Stegostoma tigrinum: one gene and its partners. The protein of the gene in region 1 interacts with the protein of each later gene in a biochemical or structural test. Links are inferred from orthologs where the notes say so. Each region holds a gene or a part of one and is shown in the gene's direction. Other genes may lie near its edges. The genes, in order: collagen alpha-1(I) chain-like, thbs1b and sparc.

The links.
Region 2: the proteins of collagen alpha-1(I) chain-like (region 1) and thbs1b form a complex in vitro, tested with the Homo sapiens proteins (2 studies listed by BioGRID). The link is inferred for Stegostoma tigrinum from reciprocal best matches to the Homo sapiens genes COL1A1 and THBS1.
Region 3: the proteins of collagen alpha-1(I) chain-like (region 1) and sparc form a complex in vitro, tested with the Homo sapiens proteins (2 studies listed by BioGRID). The link is inferred for Stegostoma tigrinum from reciprocal best matches to the Homo sapiens genes COL1A1 and SPARC.

The regions. Positions count from the first base shown.
Region 1 is NC_081384.1:21,098,497-21,105,530, forward strand, and holds the start of collagen alpha-1(I) chain-like, read left to right. Parts: upstream 1-4,001; 5' UTR 4,002-4,141; coding exon 4,142-4,223; intron 4,224-5,891; coding exon 5,892-6,086; intron 6,087-6,833; coding exon 6,834-6,850; intron 6,851-6,950; coding exon 6,951-6,974; intron 6,975-7,034. UniProt on the Homo sapiens protein: Type I collagen is a member of group I collagen (fibrillar forming collagen).
Region 2 is NC_081363.1:68,485,369-68,492,341, forward strand, and holds the start of thbs1b (thrombospondin-1), read left to right. Parts: upstream 1-3,898; 5' UTR 3,899-4,132; intron 4,133-4,248; 5' UTR 4,249-4,271; coding exon 4,272-4,338; intron 4,339-4,461; coding exon 4,462-5,012; intron 5,013-5,440; coding exon 5,441-5,516; intron 5,517-5,996; coding exon 5,997-6,190; intron 6,191-6,281; coding exon 6,282-6,410; intron 6,411-6,973. UniProt on the Homo sapiens protein: Adhesive glycoprotein that mediates cell-to-cell and cell-to-matrix interactions.
Region 3 is NC_081366.1:16,785,416-16,792,457, forward strand, and holds the start of sparc (SPARC), read left to right. Parts: upstream 1-3,963; 5' UTR 3,964-4,101; intron 4,102-7,042.

The DNA.
Region 1 (7,034 bases):
CACATAATACTCCAGCTGACCTCTCACCAGAGTCTCTTGTCAGTTCATCATAACCCTACTGACCAACTAGACCCCCTGCCCTTGGTTCTCTATGCCCCTATTCACAAAACCCACAACAGTATATGCTTAATCTGTACCTACCCTGCCACCTTCAATAACTGATGTACATATAAACCCAGATAATAAAATGTGAGGCTGGATGAACACAGCAGGCCAAGCAGCATCTCAGGAGCACAAAAGCTCATATACAAGAGCACATATAAACCCAGATCTTTATGCTCCTGTATAACATTTAGAACAGTACCCTTTTTTCTGCATTTTTTTTACCAGAGTGTATTACTTCACACTTCTCCACATTGAGCTTATCCTGATATCAATCCACCCACTCCTCCAATATTAGTGTTGTTTTGGAATTCTACAATGTCCTCCTCACAGTTTACGATTCTACCAAATTTTGTGTCGTCTGCAAATGTTGAAATTACCCCTGTACACAAGATCTAAATCCTTTGTATATCAGAAAAAGAGAAACTCCCAGCACTGACCCCTGGGGAACTCCACTACAAAACTTCTTCCAGCCTGAAAAGTACCCACAATTAGTCTTTCTCCCCTATCTCCCAGACAATGTTGCGTCCATTTTGCTACTGTTCCTTTTATTCCATAACCTATAAATGTAGTCACAAGGCTTTCGTGCGGCATGGTATCCAATGCCCTTTAAAAGTCCACGTGCACCACATTAATACTGCGCCTATTACCTCTTCAAAAATCTTCAGCTAGTTCGAATCAATTTTCCTTGAACGAGCGCATGATGACTCTTCCCAAATAACTCAGTTTTGTTCCACGTGTCTATTAATTTGATGCCGAATAATTGCTACTAGAAGTCTTTCTCCCCACCACCGAAGTTAACCTGACTGGTCTAAATCACTCCAAGATATTCTGTAATCAAGTTGCGCAGAAATGATATGGCATAGGTCTGGAGCACGTCTCAAGCTGGGCTTGCTTCGCTCAGAGCTGGGGGATTCTGCAGAATCGACTCCAAATGGCAAGGTGGTAGTTTGTAACAATTGTGCTGAGACATAAGAAGCAGTTTGGTGGCTCAGCTAAGATATGCATAAAGTATTTCAGCTGTCTTTTAAAGTCGAGAAATATAGCAAGTTGAAGTTTTACAGCAGCGTTTGGTGCAAATTTGCGTTTGAGTCATGCACGGTGAAGCGAGGGTCAGGGAAGGGGAAATGTAATGATGAGTGTGACCCATCTGCAAGAGACCTGCCCTCTTTCGCACCGCACCTACTTCTTCAAGAGCACCACGTAGACACTGCGAACGGCGACAGGGGTTGCTAGCACCGTTCGATGGGAAATGGTGTTTGCACCAAATAATTTAAAAAGCATCATTGATTTTAATTCTCCCAAAACAGCCCGGACTCAAGAACGATATAGTGAATTTAATCGGAATCCTTAACTATTTTCTTTGCCTACTATTACAGTGAATACCATAACGCCATAGAGCCTGACATTCCTGCCTTTCTTCTTTGGGATCCAAAAAAACATGTTAACTAATTCATCCCATCTGCAACTGGAATAGTGTTGATGTAAGCGAGTTTAACGCATCCCAGATGTGGAGCTGTCTACTCGGTATCAGAAAGAGAAATCACTGAGCAGTTCGGGAGAATCTTTTCAATGTTCATATTTGGGTTGTTTTGGGTCAGGAATATAACTTCAACAGGAAAAAAATATATACGTTTCTCATCTTTTTGTTCAGATTTGATCGACTGAGGCGAACTAGTGATTCCATCTGGTTTGTATAAGTGCACCGAGCCCTCCCCAACTGTATTGAATTAAACATTCACCTCCGACTTATATAAACTAAAAATTGACCCTCCACCCACACCACCTGTAGAACCTTCTCCCTCAGTGGTCTCAATATAGAAAATACTGCTCCTCCGAACAATTCTTCCATCGTTACGTAAGGGAAGCTGGTAGAGAAGTCTCCTGAGGTCGAGCTCAGGGGCTTCAGGCTAATCACTGTGCGGGGAACTGTCAGTTCAGGCAAAGACAGAGAAAGGGGACCACTTCTAAACCCAGGATACAGCGATCCGTTGCGTTTTATGCCACTCGCCAAACGCAATTGAAGCACAAGCCCAGGTGGATGCAAGTCTCAAACGTGTTAATGTGCGCAATAAATCAAAGTGGAAGGTGAACACAGCAGTTGTGATGCTTTTAGTGTGACAACACAATTATTCGCAGGTATTATTACATTCAAAGTAGCACACCTTCTAAATACTGGGAAATCTCCTATCGCCCCACCCAACACTGTCTTGGAGTGCACCGTTCGTGGTAGGAAACGTGCAGCCCACAAGGAATTTTGCTCAACTGCTTCTTGATGATCTTTTCAGCAGCGCTACATGGTTACCACATACACCGCGGGCTTTGCAAAAGCGTTTTCAGACGTGTCACCAATTCACCCAACTATCACAGAGTGAGCTAAACGAATATATTAATACATCGCCCGTGACTTGAAACCCCTGCTTTGGTTCTGTCAAATCCTCCACGTTATGAGAAAAGGATTTCGTAACTGGGGGAAAATTTAGTGTGTTCGCTCTGGGAGTTCCCTTTAGCTGTTGGTTTGTTCTGGAACGAATTGTCACTTTATGTCGTTATTTTTTAAACCTCTAAAAATAAGAAAGTTGAACTGTTATCATTTTATGTGACTTACTGAAACATTGCTGCTTTTCATAAAAATTACAGTACACTACAGGTTTCGATCAAGCGTCACATCCCAAATTATTAAATCCTGGGAGCAGGATGATTCGGGGGCACGTTCATTTCGATGTCGTTTCCTTTGGGAAAGAAGCAACCACATACCCGTCTCTCTGCCACATCTCAACTTTCCAACTCTCCTCCCCAGCCCCCACACCAGGTTATCCTTACGAAAATAAGAGTGCTGAGGCATGAAAAAAAAATCGACATCCTCACAGGTGTTGTTTATAAAGTAACAATCAAATAGTTGCAAACAAAACAAAAACACAGAGCAGCCTAATTCGTTGTCATGCAATGCTAGCAAGGTGCAAATGTTTTAGCTGAAACCAATCGAGTTCCGCTCGGGGAATCATGCCACTGTTAAACCCCTCAGGTTTATGACCTTTCGGTTTTTATATTTCAATTCTAATGCTGCTGATTGAAAATTGCTATTTCAACAGCAAGTCCATGATTACAGAGTAATCTCTTTGTTAGATTCACACTAGGCGACGGGTGATTCCATAAGGGGAAATAAAATGCAGAAAAGTGATCACAACATTGACAATTTGACTTATTTCTGCGTTTAAATGTGTCTCATCTAAAATCCGGGAAACATTTGATTTGGATCTTTTCAAGTCTAGTTTCTTGGAGGTTTCCTCACCAATTACTCCCCAACTTTCGTGTTTTTCTGAAAAAAAACTGATGAGTTGGCGTATCAATAAAAGTGATTACGTGTATGTTGGTTAGGAAGAGCTAAGCCGTTCCTTCAGTTGAAAGTTTTCCAGCCCTTCTTTGACCCAGTCATGCTTCAACGTGTCTCTCTGCTCTGTAACAGCCTCTGAAACGAAGCCAATAAAAAAAAAAGTGCCTTTGAAAAATGATGTGCCCGTGTCTGAAGAAGAATAGGTTTTAGGAAAAGAATTATGGTTCATCAAATTAAATGGGTCTTGCGTCGGGGTTAGGGCGGGGGGGGGGGGGTGATGTATAGAGAAGGAGGCAGGGCATGGAGTGCAAGTATGAGTCCAACAGCCACATGGCGGTTCACACCAGCCATCCAGAATTCCCTCTTCCCACCCCGATTGGAGGAAGGCATCTACGTACATGTTAGTGGATGGTCAGAGACAATTGGATCCTGCCGCAGGCGGGGACTTTGCCGGTTTCCAACTGGAGGAGGAGATTTGTTTGGTGGCGGGGGGGGGTCACTGGTGGAGATGGGCGGCAACTATTCACACCTCCAAAGCCTGGCACACATAAAAGGGCAGGCGATCTGCAAACGGAACAGTAGGAAGTTTCTGCTGGGGCTCGGTGCTGAAGCTTGGAATTACACACCAGAACCATTGCATGTCCGGACGTTAAAGAAAGTTTCCCTTTTTTTACCCCAAAGAGTCTACATGTCTAATATTTAGACATGTTCAGCTTTGTGGATACGCGGACTTTGCTGTTGCTGGCAGCAACGTTAGTGGTGGGAAGATGTCAAGCGGACGATGACAGTAAGTGTTCCTTTCTCGTTTTCCTTCTGTTTCGTCCTGAAGAACTGTTTCGAAAAATCTCCCGTCTATCGCCCGCTTAAGAGGCGAACGCTACGATCGACCTAACGGGAGAGGGATGCACAACTTTGAATTCTGTTAAAACTTTGCAAAGAAAGCTCTAATGTGAAATTGACTTGCAGGATTGTCGATTGAAAAAATGTCAGGCAACATTTTCCTGATGTTAGCTTCAGACGGTAATGTTTGGAGCATTCCGAAAGCTTGTTGCGTTTTGTTCGAACTATGCAAACGATTTGAAATAGATTACCGCAACGATTTTCCTTTTATGGAATGGTTTTTCGATCTCTAAGGGATGGGTGCATTAAAAGAAACTACATTTGTGTATTACGTGGCTGTCAGACTGTCTAACTTCTCCGCCAGCCCACAAGAATTGCAGTATCCACCCCGTTTAAGAAAGGGAAACAGAACACAGACAATTGTTGGGACCATATTAGTTGGAGTGAAGGAGTCTCGACCAGACAATTGGTTGAAAGCAGCTGCCTTTGATAGTGGGTGTGTCACTTTGGAGCAGATCCTTTGTGGCGAATTTCGAATAAATTGGGTCCAAATGGAAAATAGTGTCAAACAGATGGAAAACAGAGCACAACGCGAATTAAAATACACTTAAAATATTATTAAATTGAATAAAATGCATAAAGCGGTAAAATCTGGGTTTGAGTTTTAGTGATTTTTGCCTAGTTCTGTTTAGTTTGCAGCCACAAATCGATTTTCAGACATAAGGTAGCTTTTAAAGAAAATCGAAATTGTTCCAATTCCGAAAATTAGCGTATTTAAAGTTCAAGCCAAGAAACGAAGTTGTTTGAGGGGAAAAAAATGTCCGGTGTTCGGAATAGAAGCAATCCAGATGTTTAGACATTGTTTTCAAAGCCAAGCAAGTTCTGAGTAGCAGTCCAGTGCTGTGGCTTAACAGCGCCATCTCTAGGCAACATGTTAAAATGGTAGCTATTGTAAACTGGCTTTTTTTCCCCAAGACAACCAGGATCTTCTAATTTAAAACAGACAAAACTGGCGGAAAAAGCAACTCAGCAGGGCTGGCAGCGTTTGTGGAGAGAGAAAGAGTTTAACGTTTTGAGTACGATATGACTCTTCGTCAGAAATCCACTTTAACTCTGATTTACTCCACCACCACATTAACAATTCTGCACGGGACGTGTTTTAAATGAAACTGCGTACCATTGACTAAAAAATGATTTGAGTCGGATGCACTTTTGTGCGGTTTACTGCAGTGCTAAATCTGAGGTGGAGCTTGAGCGCCATCTGTTGAATTTCTCGCCTGATAATCTTGGCTTGCGAGCTTGTGTCACTAAAGCAACGCCTTTAAACTAAAGACCAAAATACTTGGTGCATTGTTAAAACTTAAATGTCGAAAATTCTTGTATTCCATACAGGTCACAATGTCAAAAGTGCATGTTCTTTTTAAATTGAGGAGTAGTGTTATCAGTTCTATCTTAGGCTGTTTGGGATACAAAATAAATAGCTCAACATGAATCTGCATACAGTTTCTCGTCCCTTTGAAGTTTGTCACTTTTTCCCCCAAAGGCGTTCTTGCCTTTCTGCCCATTAGAGGGCGTTTGGTATCACCGCGGTTGATATATCCCGTTTGATTCTCAGATAGCGGACCTAGCTGCTACAAGGATGGAGAAACGTTCGAAAACAAGGATATCTGGAAACCCGAACCCTGCCTGATTTGCGTCTGCGACAATGGCCGGGTCCTTTGTGACGAAATAATCTGCGAGGAAACCATCGACTGCCCCAATGCCGAAGTGCGCGACGGAGAATGCTGCCCCGTCTGCCCCGAAAAAGATCGTGAGTGTTTGCTGTGGTCCCTAGTCAATTGTTCGAAGGCGCCTTTAAGTGCTCTCCGCCAGCCACCTGACAACTTATATCATCGCCTTACATTCCCAAACTCAATTATCAACAGCAATGTAGTTTAGGAAAAGGTAGCAATAGTTGCTGCGCGGCAGCAACTGGAAGTGGAATGAAGTATCCACTCGAATGGACAATTCTAAACATTGCTTTTTAAACCTAGTGACAAAATACACATTACGTTTGAAAGCTTTAGGTGAATTCACTTCAAAACCAGTAATGATTACATTATACTAGTCCGTCAGCATTTATGATTTGCAGGAAATGTTTTGCCATTTCATGGTGAAAGTGACAGTGAACGTTAAGGGGTTATTTAACACAAAAGTACCACAGCCACAATAAACAAACCGCTTTTAATTTTAATTTAATTGAGTGTCTTTGATTTTTTTAAAAACCCAGGTTATTGTCTTTTTCTGAATCATTTGATCTGATAGAGGTTTTCTTTAAACCAATTTAAGCATTATGGGTTTTAGCTATGACATCATTGAATGATTCAATGAACATGTCACAGGCCCAAGTAGAGCAAAACCGGAAGGAGTCTTAGAAGTAATTTCCTTTTGCACTCTCCTCCCTAAAAAACATATGTGCAGTAAATAAACTATAAGCTGTTTATGAGCAATAATTACAATGCTTTCCGTTGTTTTTGAAAATGTGTTTATAAATTAAGCTCTTTTTATTTTGTTACAGCAGAAGGTGGAGAAACAGTAAGTACATCATATTCACTTAGACAATACAACAATGAAATATTTACATGGTTACTTGTAACACATATCCACACACTGACTTATTAATTTTTCTTTCCAGTATCCCTCTGGCCCTGGTATTCAGGTAAATAGAAATGCTTTTTATTTCCAGGTTAACAAAAGATATTTTAAACACACAGAAGTT
Region 2 (6,973 bases), on another chromosome or scaffold:
TATCTCCTGCAGTGTAGATATTTAGAACACCAATCTGACTCTGTGTGGGAAAATGAAATCTTTCAACGCTGCGAATTCCTGTGTGCTGCATGCGTGAGGCTGCACTCCAAAGTCTAATTTTCAGACCGTCTGCAACATGGGCAGGAACGAGTGTTTTTTTTATAACAAGCAAAAGTGGACTGTATTATCTTATTAGTCATTGGGTGTTCGTCCCCCATATCGGGGTATCCTGCAAAGGGATTAGAAAGTAACGGAGGATCCCCTCCTTCAACAATTCCAACAATTCTTACTCAAAATGTCCCTGGCTGAATCATACCTGCTTCTGTCCAAAGAATTTCATGAAAAAAAAACATTCAAGATTATAGGGGGAGGGAAGAAGGCAAGCAAGAATGGAGGGAGAGGGACGTGAAGTGGTGGATGGAATAGGCCAGGGTAAATGTGGAGGTGGGAGCAGATGAATGAGATGAATTCATTGCACTAAGGCTTATTGAAACATATGCAGTTTGCAGATGGGGGCATTAACAACAAGCAGCATAATTGATAGTTTTAAGGTGTTATGGTGTGTTGATAATGCCCCTCTGAGCTAAGAGGTCCAGGTTTAAGCTCCATCTGCTCTATTAACTCTGTGAAAATATCACTGAACAAGTTGACTAAAACTTAGAGATAATGGGAACTGCAGATGCTGGAGATTCAAAGACAGCCTCACATTTTATTATCTTGACTAAAACTTAAATGAGACATTTAAGGTCTTGTGGTGTAGTGGTAGTGTCCCCGCTTCTGGGTCAGAAGTCTAGGTTCAAATCTCAGTTGCCCACAAAGATGTCATAACATGTCTAAATGGGTAGATTAAAAATATTTAAGAAATGACCATCAGAGTTTAAATTGGGGAATTGGAGAATTTAAAGAAATTGAACTGAGAAACTTTCTGCTCTGGGTGACTCAGCAAAGAGCACAGGATGCATTAAGAGATAGTAGGAACTGCAGACGCTAGAGAATCTGAGATAACAAGATTTCTGAAGGAGGGTCTAGGGCCAAAAAGTCAGCCTTCCCGCTCCTCTACTGCTGCTTGGCCTGCTGTGTTCATCAAGCTCTACACCTTGTTATCACAGGATGCATTAACTTTTGTTTTCATTGATTCAGTCTTGGGATGTGTTTAATGTTGTGAACCACCTTCCTGAAATAATGCAGTCCACTTTGGAACTTTAGGCTGTTTCACAGGACAATCAAAAGTCCCACATCAGTCTGGACTCCAACAACATACAGATCAAATCAGATAAAGACTGCAAGGTTTACAGCCTCACAAAGAATCAGTTAGATTTTTCAAAAATATAAACACTTACATGGTTGTAACAGCTTTCTCAATCTCAGATGGCCCCTACAGCTAATGAAGTCAACTAACTGTTTCTAAGAAACCTATTCAGAGAAGTTATAATACACCTCTGGAGCAAATGGGACTTGAACCCAGGCCTCCTATCCTCGAGGCTGCCCTCTAGTAAGTGGTGGGGAATAGGACAGCTGCACCATAAGGCCCCACTCCAAGTAAAGAAGAATGGCAGCTCATCACTTATGAAAACATGCTTAATTTACATAATTGGTGCTCATAATCCAATCTCTTCGTCCTTTCAATAACATTGGTTGTCATCTTCTGTATTCTTTCACTGACTGCAATGTCTCTCTTTTACAAGTGTGAATAGAACTTTTCACACTGTTTAGTCGAAGTGCAGTTACATCAATGATTTGTAAAGTGGCAGTTGTAACTCACAGTATCAGTTCAATATTGACTTTTCAATACATCACAACATTTGATTTGATATATTTGTACCACTGAACATTGTTTCAATACCTTTAATTTATTGTCAATGGGATCCCTGGCAAAAACATGCTATAATTTTCCACACAAATTATTTTCTTTCCATTTATGTAATTGTCCCTTACCGCCCCACTACAACAATATATCAGTAATTGTTCTGTCCCACTGTTGGGTCTACTTGCCCCATTTGCAGTTTGTTTCACTTACTAACAAATTGTGATTCCACAACTAGTAGTTTGTATCTTTTCCATCATGTTGTATCAGTGGCTGCTTAACGAACCTCACAGATCTTTGGTTAGTTTGTTCTTTCAGGGCAAAGTCAATCCAGGTTTTAAATGGACGCACAGAGAGAGCAAATGGGCTGACAGCTACAGGCAGGGTCAATTCAGGGTGCAACACTGAAAATTGGGAAATGTGCTCATTCCAGATCACCAACAAAGTCAACTACACATTGAGAGCCGGTGCCATACACTCCAGAATGCATCAAACTCAAATATATTCAGGTCTAAAAGACCCTATGATTCCAGTGAGTAGTCATTATGGAGCAAGGCTCATTACTGTTGGCAAGAAGGACATAGACTTCAGAAATAAGAACAGAAATTTTGCAGCATTTTCCACTTATGGTTCAGGTTTCCAGCATCTGCAGTATTTTGCTTTCATTCGGCATAGAATTCAGCCCTGGCGAAGAGAAGTACGGACTGTACATGGACCGGAGAATTTTAAACCCTAATGCGCCTTGTCACAGACCACCCCCATCCGTCGTACAAACACCGAGCCATAAAGGGATTCATCCGAGACTTTCAACCTCTTGACACTGAGATTTTTAACCTCTTGACAAGGTCAAGTGGGACAAGAATACTTGCAAAAGCTGCAAAGGCAAATTTGTTTGGCTTTGGGAAATATTGCGCAGTGTTGGTTCACCCCTTCTTTGGACAGGTTGACACCAGTGCGAAACCCTAACTGCATGTGGCCAGTTGACAATGGAAGAAATTGCGCTGGTAAAATATTCGCCTGTGCAGAAGATCTGGAAGGCGAGTCAGCTAGGGGCCAAAGCCACAGAGTGAAACGTACACTGCTATTGTCTCAGGAAATCTTGACGAAGCTGACATACTCGGACTCTCGCTACTGTAGGAGTAAGCAAAAAAAAATGCACCGACGTCAAAAACTATTTCCAGGATCAGAATTTTCTCCAATGACTTAGAGATGGAATGGAAAATAACTAAAATAACTTCTAAAAAAATCTTTTTAGCAAAAGTTTTTTAAACACGCTGAAAATATAGTTCGGCCATGCGTAAGTGTAGTTACAGACATTAGAAAGTTGTTTACAACCTGGATACTTTTGTGTGGCATGAAATCGAGGAAAGTTACATTTTTGGGTTGGCACTGCTGAAATATGTCGGAAGGCGAGATCTGCTGCGAGACTGATCGATTTGCAATTTGGATTGAAGCGGTATGAAATGCTTTCGCGCTGTCCTGAGATGGTGAAACAAGCGAGACTCGAGAACCCGAAAAGCATTCGCTGGCCGGCAAATGAAACGACACACTTCCCCCTAGTGGGGAAATCGGAGGACAGCTCGAAAACACAGGACCGCAACATAACCACAAGCTCACAATTTGTGGAATTATGGAACAGATTTTTCATTTATTCGAGATACATCATTTCACTGAAATAAAAAAAGTCATTTTCTTAAACCACACCATCAGATTCCTATCATAGGGAGACTCAGAGTATATTCCAACAGGTGCTTGTTACATTTTGCTCAATAAAGGTATGTCTGGGAAGGGAATGTATGACACAGGACTGCCTGGGTTAGAGCAACAAAATCTGGATCCACGGACAGGATGGCGGAGGCGGGTGGGGTCTGGCTAGAACTCTCGCACCTCTCGGTAAAATTCTTTTGCGTCTTTTTGGCCCAGCTCCACTGGAATCCGCCTAATTACTTTCCTCGGTGCGGTCATGACTGCTTCGGAACTGTATCCCTCTTGTTGTGAGGTAACAGAATAAACACAAGCCCGCTTCCTCCCAGGCAGCCAGTGATTGGCAGAGACTGACTGCGAGGAATGTGAGAGGGTATTTAAAGCAGCCGTTCTCCAGGCTCACAGTAGTATCGATCTCGGGTACCTTCAGCTTCAGGGGCTGCTTCTTAGGCAAAGACTTCGAGGTGAAGAGAGACTTTTGAAACAAAAAAAATACAAGTAACGTTTCGAGTCTGAGAAGCCAGCTTACCAGATCTTGTACATTTCGGATTTGCCATCGTTTACCATCCGCGGAGCTATTATTGTTTGCACTGTTCATTTTAGGATTGAAAGCCTTCACTACTGGTCAGTGAACGAGTTTACATTTCAGTCGATGATAGCAGTAACACAGTAGTTTGAATAATTGTTTTGGAAACTCTATGCAGCTAAAACAAAAAAAATTCTCCCTTTTTTTATGCCAGGGTCTGAGAGAGTTCCTTCTGAAATGAAGCCACTGCACGGACTCTTCCTCCTTTTGATGATTGTTGCTTGCTCCTCCAAGCGAATCCAAGGTAAGTTGTGAGTGCACGTCCCCCCGCAGCTATTGGCGCTCCCCTCCTGTTGAAGTCACTTGCTTTGAAGAGTTAATGCTGTGCGTTTAAATGTGTGCCCTTCTCTTGCCTAATCCCCGACAGACGCCGGAGCGGATGGAGTCTTTGATCTGTTCGACATCACTGGCCTTACTCGCAAGAATGTAGGGGTGCATATGGTAAAGGGACCGGAGTCTAGCAGCCCGGCTTACAGGATCCTCAACCCTGACCTCATTGCCCCGGCTTCGGAGAACAGCTTCAGTGAGCTGATCGATCACATCCAGCAGGAGAAGGGATTCATTTTCCTGGCCACCCTGCGCCAGATGAAAAAGAGCCGGGGGACCTTAGTAGCCATCGACACGCTGCAAGGGACACGCATCTTCGAGATCCTGTCCAACGGCAAGGCGAACACTCTCGACCTGACCATCACCATCGACGGCAAGCAGAGTATGGTGTCCATCACCGATGCGCACCTGGCCAATGCCCGCTGGAAAAACCTCACTCTCTTCGTGCAGGAGGACGTGGCCACGCTGTATGTGGGATGTGAGAAGGTCAATGGCGTGGAGTTGGAGGAAGCTATTCACAAAGTGCTGAAGCCTGGTGACTACAGCCTGAGGCTGGCTAAGGGAGGACCTGGGCTCCGAAACAATTTTCAGGTAAGGGCAGACTCTCTCTCTCTCTCTCTCACACACACACACACACACACACACACACACACACACACACACACACACACACACTCACTCACTCACTCACTCTCATTCGCGCACACAGTCACACTCACTCACTCACGAAGGGGGGACAGCCAGAGGCAGGAACAGTGCAATAACTGACTCGACGCAAGTTACAGAAACTGCGGACGGCTGGTAATGCACTGAATGGTTTGTAAACGAAAGGCTGTTTCAAAAATGAATTTGGGCAGAGGAGTCACTTCAGATAGCATTAAATGTAGCGGAAGTTCGCGCGTTTTTCGACATGACGTTAACTAACAAATAAAAGTGCAGTGCAGAAGGAATCGTGGCTTACTATTTTGTTTTTTTGAAAAAGTGGCTCCAATTTTGTTTCTTCCTTCTGTGTGACACAGGGAGTTCTGCAGAACGTGCGCTTTGTCTTTGGGACCAACTTGGAAACCATTCTGATGAACAAGGGCTGCTACAGTAGTAAGTATCCGACACGGGCCTGTCCGGGGGAAATTTTCCTGTACAAGCGCTTGCTCACCTCCGCTGAAACAGCCGCACTACTTCACCTCGAGTGATAGTGGTTAGTGAGATTCAAAGATTATCCCGAACTCTTAACTAGGGACCATCTCATTCACATGAGGTGAGCCCCCCCCCGCCCTATATGTGTGTTTTTGAGGGGCGAGCGGGCTGCAGTGAGAGTTCGGAATTGTATCAGGAATAATCCAGCAACATCAACTTTCTAAATGCAGGTGCTGTGTTTTTGTGGGTGGAACGAATTGCTGCTTGCATTCCATGTCAGGCTTTGCTTTTAAAAACCTCTTGAGTAGAATCACCCTTGTCCATAAAAACAAATATGAGCTGTTACCCAAAGGACTTTATCCAGTGGTCTTGGCTGGAACAGTTCAGAATGTGTCCCATTAACCGCCAGCCCTCATGTAACTGCTCCTCTTATTTTTGCAGCTGCCCCAGGGATTCTTCCTTTACCAATCAGGGGCTCTGAAAGCCCGGCCATCAGGACCAACTTTTATGGTCACAAAACCAAAGATCTTCAGACGGTCTGTGGCATCTCCTGCGAGGAACTATCCAACATGTTCTCTGAACTGCAAGCTCTCAGGACCATGGTCACCCAGCTGGTTGATAATGTTCAGAAAGTGGTAAGGAGACTAAAGGAATCGAGCCTTTTGTAAGTTACTTTAGTTACTTGTGCATGGGGTTGTAATGAATTGTCACTACCTTCTCCTCTAGACTGCAGAAAATGAATTAATTGCAAGAAGCATTGGAATCAAACAGATAGGAGGATGTTTCCACAATGGCATGACTTACAAAGACAAAGATCAATGGAAAGTGGACAACTGCACAGACTGCACTTGTCAGGTAAAACCGCAACATTTGATGCAACTCAAAACTTAACTTGCTTTTCCAAAAAAAGCTATAGCAAAGATTCCTGCATTGTAATAATCACTTAAAGTTGTTTCACTTGCATTCAGATTGAAATTGCATGGTCTAGCAGTAGTCAATTGTCGTGCCAACTTAGTAGCTGGAACTATCACCAACGCTGCCAAAACGGTTAAAAAGCATTAGGAAAGCCACAGGTCTTAGGACTGTTTGGGTTGCTTTTGAGTGGTTTTGAATATCTGTAGGGAAACACTGCATTGGGCAATATTTTCAAGGGGAAGAGCCTGTGCCAAATATAAACTGGACCAAATTTAAAGGAACTGACTACTTGGAACAATGTTAAAAGCTTTTTCCAGAAGAAAAGTATGAAAGCCGTAATCTTGGTAATTTTGTCAGGGAGTAAATTTGCAGATAATTGATGTAAATCAGCAAAATATGCGGGATGGGCAGACAATATATCAACTGGAGTGTGCTTTCTGAGCCGATTGTTATCAAATTCTGCACTTCCAGCCTCTGAAAATACTTGCACTGCAGTTCCTAAA
Region 3 (7,042 bases), on another chromosome or scaffold:
CTTACAAACAATTTACAGAGAGATATTAATAGGTTAAAAAGTGGCAACAAATTGGCAAATGGAGTATAAGCTATAAAAATGTGAAGTTGTTCATTTTGTAAGGGAGAACAAAAGAACAGAATATTATTTAAATGAAGCAAAACTGCAGAAAGCTGTAACACAAGGGGAGTTGGGGGTACTTGTGCACAAAACACAGAAAGCTAGCACACAGGTACAAAAGGGAATCAGGAAGGGTTTATAGATTTTCTGAAGAAGGGTCTTGACCCAAAACGTCACCTTTCCTGCTCCTCCGATGCTGCTTAGCCTGCTGTGTTCATCCAGCTTCACACTGTGTTATCTAACGGTTTATAGAATATTGGTCATTATTTCAAAGCGATTGGAGAATGAGCAGGGGAATCTTACTGCAACTGTACTAGGTGTTGGTGAAACCACATTGGAGTGTTGTGAGGAGTTTTGGTCTCCTTATCTAAGAAAATATATTAGCTCTTTGCAGGCAGTTCAGAGAAGGTTCCCCAGGATGTTTACTGGTTTGGAGAGATTGACTTATGACTAAAGATTAAACAGGTTGGGACTCTACTCACTGCAGTTGAGAAGAATGAGAGGTGATCTCATTGAATCATATAGGGTGCTTAAGGGGCTTGACAGGGTAAATGCTGAAGAATACTTCCCGTCATGGGAGAGTCTAGGATGAGAATGCATGACCTCAGAATAAAGAAGCAATTTAAGATGGAGACGAGGAGGAATTTTGTTTCTCTCAGAGGGTTGTGAGCCTTTGGAAGTCCCTGCCAGAGCTTCTGGGGCAAAGTCCTTGTGTATATTTTATGGCTGAGATAGATAGATTCTTGATCAATGAGGAAATCAAGTATTATGGGGAAAGTGGATGTGAGCGTCGGATCAGCCATGATCCTATTGAATTGCGGAACAGGCTCGAGGGGCTGAAGAATTTTCTCATATTCTTACTTCTAGTTGTGTGATGGTCTTAATTTTACATGGATCTCCATTCAGTTTTGAAATCTAAGATAGCATCGGAGAAAGGCACACTACAAAGAATAGAAAAGAATATGATTAATCATTGGATATGTATATTAAAGGTAAGATGTAGTTCATAAGATGCCAAAACAGAGAGAAGGCCAAGGTGGCCAAGTGGATAAAAACAAAATTTAGAGATTGTAAGAGGAAAATATTTGTTTAGTAATAGTGCATTACATCAATGCAAAATGGAATAATATTTTGAAAGACACATTGAATCCTGGTTTGTCACAGAAAGTGAGAGGTATGTACCAAGGTATTGGAAAAGCCTGGAATGCAAAGCATAGAGAAGATTCAGTGAATGTGCTGCACTCCTAACGGTGGAAGTAAGATGCAATTTCTCACAAAAATCAGAATCAAAATTTGGGTATGGGGGCTGGATAAATTGAAATTTTTAAGACCATCAGTAAGATTTTGTAGTCATGTTATCAAGGATATTGGAGTAAAGAAAGGTTTCAGTGTTGAGGTACATATCAACCATTTTCTACTTGAATGGTGGAACAAACTTGAGAGGCTAAATGTCCTCCAACTATTCCTTTGGATAGGATAGAGTTGAGCCATTATCACAATTGGGAAAGGCATAAACTTGAAAATGGGAATGAATAGAACTATCCAAATAGATATAAGTAGACTTGGAATGAAAAACAGGATCTGGACATTGCACGTTATCAGGCAGTGAAATTTATTATAAGCAAACATCTTGTATTGGGCATTAACTAACAGTGGTCTCCACACTGGTTGTGAATAGAAATGGCTTAAGCATTGGAGGTATAAAAATATTCTGGCATTTATGTAGCATTTTTTGAAACTTAAAATATGTTTTACAGCCAATTAAGCATTTTTAGACTATAGACAGTCATAGCCACATCAGGCATGTCCTCACAGTTGATTAACTGTGAATTTATAGAGCTTGTTTGCGGCCCACATTTAGTTTCCAAATGTTTCAATTTAAAAAATAACTGGTAACACAATGTTATGCATTAAGCAAGATGAAAGGTTGAATTATTACACAACTTTGCTGGACACTATTTAAGCAAGAAGTGACAAACACATGAGCTGGCATTTGGATACAAAGATTGATTGTGAATAAGAATAAAACATTGGCATAAGATGAAAATACACTGTATTGCCAAGATTGTTGCAGGCCTACTCACATAAAGCTTTCTCCTTCTGAAACGAAGGGGTTGAAAACAGCAATAAATCAAATAAATCACTGTGGATGTTGCAGATCTGAAACAAAAACGGAAATTGCTGGAGAAACTCAGCAGGCCAGGCAGCACCTGTGGAGAGAAAGCAGAGTCAATGTTTCAGATCTAATGATACTTTGTTAAAACTTGGAATTCAGATTCAACAGCTGTAATAGCTTCTGTAGTTGAATAGTTGATTGCTGTCTGCATGGTTGGATCCATCACATTAGAATAATTTGGAAGAGAGAGATTCTTGTTCTTTGCTGGCTCTGTCATTCTGGAACTTTCAGGTTGCCTTGACTTTTTTGGCAGAACAGCAACTGATGTCTGTATGTCTTCTTCCTTTTACTCCTTTGGCTGAGAACCCTCCCCCAGGCCCATGATGTCTGGCATGGCTCTTCCAGTTTGGGAGTGGGGTCTTACATAAAATGTTTTAAACAGATCAAGATTTCAAATGAGTGCTATCCTAAAAACTGTTGCATCATGTTCCCAAATTCAATAGTTGGCCAAGGCCTGGGTTCCAATGTGGAAAGTAACTTTTTTTTATAATTGTCACAGCCTGGCTTTCATTGCTAGTCTCTTTTGGTGAACTAGGAAGAACTATTCATACATTCAAGGAAATGATTGTCAAGCTTACCCTTGGAAATATTAATTTAATTTCAAAAAGTCTCATGATTTATTCCCATGTAAGTACAGTCTAGTCCCAATACAAGCTGACTGAGGGAACCATTGAATTCTTGAAGCCATTTTGCGTGAGTCTTCAACTATTCTAAAAAGCAATTCAGTTATATTTGCAAGATGTACAGCATTATAATTATACAGCTATGACCGGTCACTGTAAGAAACAGTAAGGTGCCATAGGTAGTAATGAGATCATGCACATTATTTTCATGTTGGTTGAGGGATAAATATTGGCCAGGACACAGGGACAGATATCTTTGCTGTTGTTTAGCTTAATATGATGTGGATATTAAGCGCACTTTAGTGGGTATAATTTAATTAAAATTATTGCCATGATCTCAGCAAATGCAAACCCAGATAGAAGAACCCTCAAAGATTCAAAACGATAATTTGAACAAAGGTGCATTAAAAATCAAATTTGGTACATTTCTAAAGTTTTATTTATAAGAATCATATTTTTGCTTAAGAGTTGTATATCTTTATTTCGGAAATGCATAAAAACGGCACCGAAGTACATTCTTAAGGAGATAATCAGTGAATTCCACTGCAGGAGCTATGTTAGAGCATGTTTATGGAGGGTGCAGCTGAGAGCCACGTCTACTGAGATGGACCTTGGTAATTATCTGCACTGCCTCCATCGCTGGGTTGCTTTACATGTAAATTTGGACCACGTAGATATGCAGTTGCCACGTTGACAGTTCACCACTCCATTCCACCTCCACCACCCCACCCCACGCCAAATAAAACAAAAACCAGATGTTTGTTTCGTTCTGAAAACACTGCCAGACTGAGGCAAAAAGAAACGATTACTGAAGTAAGGATGAACCACTGCTAATTAATTAATATTTGCAGGCATCATACACAAACAGAAGCAGAAGTACACTTAATTGAATAGAATTGTGCTGTTTCGTGCTATAATGTAGCATTATGGAAATGGTGCAGCGAATCTGTCCAAATAAGGGAGTGGGATAGATTGTTCTGGTCTGCGATAGAGAGTGCGTTCCAATAGCAAACTATGCATTTGATTTTCCAACCAGAACAATTTGAAGTGGGGGAGGGATAGAGAGAGAGGGAGAGAGAGAGCCGGCCCACCCGGGATATCATTGCTTCATTTCCTGCCAGTTGACTCTAAAGAGTCAGATTCTTCCATTGCCTCAGTTAGCCTGGTGCTCTCTCACTACCGTGCAGTCTTCTCCTTCTTGAGGTATGAGCTACTGATTTTTTTTCCAGTTAGTTTTCCAAAGCTATTCCTTTGGTATTTCTGCGGATATGTTCAATTCACGATGTTATTAAAAGTAAGCCGCGTGTTTTGAGATTGCATCCTTCTAAGATCTTTTTTTCTGCCGACCCTTATCTGTCACTTCTGCATACCGCCCATTGACTTATAGTGCAATGTTATTAAGATGATCCTAACGGTTAACAAAGGCTTTCTTTCGACTGTTAGTCCATGGGCTATTTCTCAAGGACTCTCTTTGTTTACCGCAATAGTGCAAGACGCTTTAGGATTTACCGTGCCCTTAGGTTTTAATATTTAGTCTACTCTTGATAAAGCCGATCTGGACGGTGCAAAGTTCTACAAAGTTGAAAGATTTCACTCCCCCCCCCCCCCCCCCGATAAGCTTTTATAAAAATGTTTCTCCGGTTGTGAATCCCGTTACCAAGCAGGTGACTTGATTCATCTGGGGCCATTTACGGATCTTTTCATGAAGGCAAGGAAGCTGAGCACGGTTCAAATCTAACGCCCCAGTATGCGCACACAGGCGCCTTCCCTACCACGAAGCAGGGAGAGTAGCTCACATTTCAGAGCTATGTCCGAGTGAGAAAGATCCGTGGTACAGTAACTGAGACGAAGTTGCTCTTGTCACTGTTTCGGGCAAGGATCGGATATAATCTAACAAAGGACATGCGCCTCACCCTCTATCTACTCGACAGAACGCGACCACTCCCTGTGTGTTTTGTTTAATCGAAATTGCCTTTAACAACTACTTTTTGAAATGTTGGGAGCCGTTAATTCGTCTTGCTCTTAACAATTTCTGCAATTCCAAACAAAACTCTTAACGTAATTACTTTTTTAAAATAATAAGGTTAACATGGCACATTCGTCGTATTATGTAATTGTGTTTTTATTTGATTCATTTGCTAGAAAGTCTCTCTTTAATGAACCTAACACTATCGTGAAATGCCCCGTCTGCAGTTTTTGCCAGTTATTAAAGCCTATTTATTATTTTTAAGGAAATGAGGAACTTTCCGAGATGTATGATTTTCAAATGTAACATAGATTCGAGTGAATTCCGCTTGTTCGGAACGGTGTTTTAACTGCATTTTGCACGAAGACCGCTAACGGGGACGATTTCGAATGGGTTCATCTCCAACATGCACCTTGCGGGCTAAAAGCTCACTAACCGCGCATTATGAAGTGAACCTGGGATCTGCGAGATTGGAAAGGGGGGGCGGGGGTTATCTCTGCATGGCTGATGGGTGGGAAGGGTTTGGGGGCGGTTAATTCACCAGATGTATCCCTGGCTGACTCCTGTGTGTGTTAGCTGTAGGGTTAGTTCTTGCTGGACCAGCTTAGCAGGTGCAAACAGCTGGATACCAGCAGGGCTGGTCAACATCTGTCGACAGTTTATTATCTCCTCGTTTCGTTTCGGGTGGGTGGCTGTAGGAATGAAAAAAAAACTGATACAACAATTTGCCACTACGTCCTTCCACCCCCTTCTACCAAAACACGCCCACTATCTTTTTTTTCTAAAAGTATGCTCCCTCCAGTCAATGTCCAGTATCCCCCTCTTTGACTGTATGAGTTTCGGTTATCATGAAGGGGGAGAGTATACACGGTGAGCAGTGGTCCTAAGCGAGCAGGTTAACGGTGGAACAAAATGGCTAGCATTCGGCTGAAGTTGCTACACCGCAATGTCATATACCAGTTAGTACAATGTGAGCAAATATCAATGCCCACCCAGTGTGTACACGATACTAAAACACCATCATACAACACAGCACGGCGGATGCTGGGAATCTGAAACAGAGCCAGTAGTTTCTTCAGAAACTCGGCACGTCTGGCAGCACTAGTGGAGAGCGAAAAACAGAGTTAACATTTTCAGTTCTGAAGAAAGGGTCACTGGACTGGAGGCGTTATCTCTGCTTTCTCTCTACAGACTCTGCCAGACCGGCTGAGTTTCTCCAGCAATTCCTTTTTTTTCTTTGTTCCTGAAACACCATAAGTAGGATTGCGGAGCTCAGAGTCATAGAGTAAGGTAAAATACAATTTTACACTGAAAGTTTCTTAACAGAACATATAATGCATCCAAAGCAGAACAGAAGTGCATGAAGCGACCAGGCAGAGGAATGTGGTTCTATAGGAGGCAACTCAACTTTGACTCGCTGCTCAAGTGCCTTAAATTTTGACGATTAATCAAGGAGGTGAAATCCGATTTATCTGATTTGTAAATGAATATGTTTATTGAAAACAAACACAAGTAAATTCTAGAAAGTGCTGGCAAAACTCTGTAGTTCTGGCAGTAGTTGTGAACTGAGCTGACGTTTTGTGTGCATGGGCTCACTCTAGGAGAGGAGAGGAATTCGGAAAAGGGTAAGTGAGGAGGATGGAGGGTGGGGGAAGAGGCTAGAATTACTTCAGACTGATCTCCCACTCACCAAGTCAGAGCTATTAAAAGTGACCATTGATCTGACTTCATTCCTCTCAAATTGCCTCTTTTTGACTTCACTGTTTCACAAGGGTGTCCGGAATGTCACTGCGAAATAGATCTTCTCCGTTGGCAGAATTCCGACAATATCCTTGCAGATTTCGGAGACCTACCTTCCGGCAGCTATGCTAATCTAGAGGGTCAGTTTATTCTGTAGGTTAGTGTACAACTAAGCATTTCAATACAGGACAGAAAGCGGGAGGCTTGTCTCGGTACGTTCCACACGGGCGCTGGTTGGTTGTCATTCCAGAATCCCTTTGACTTAAACGGTGACTTGCAATGGGCAATAAATTCAACTGATGCTGCTTCGTCAGCTCCCATTCACTTACGAAATGTGTGCAGTAATGTTTGCTTTTTTGGGCGACGTGCCGGGGCTTTGGGGTGGGCTGAGGGGATGGGGTGTGAGTGGAATTGGAGGCGAGAACACCCGAGGAGGAA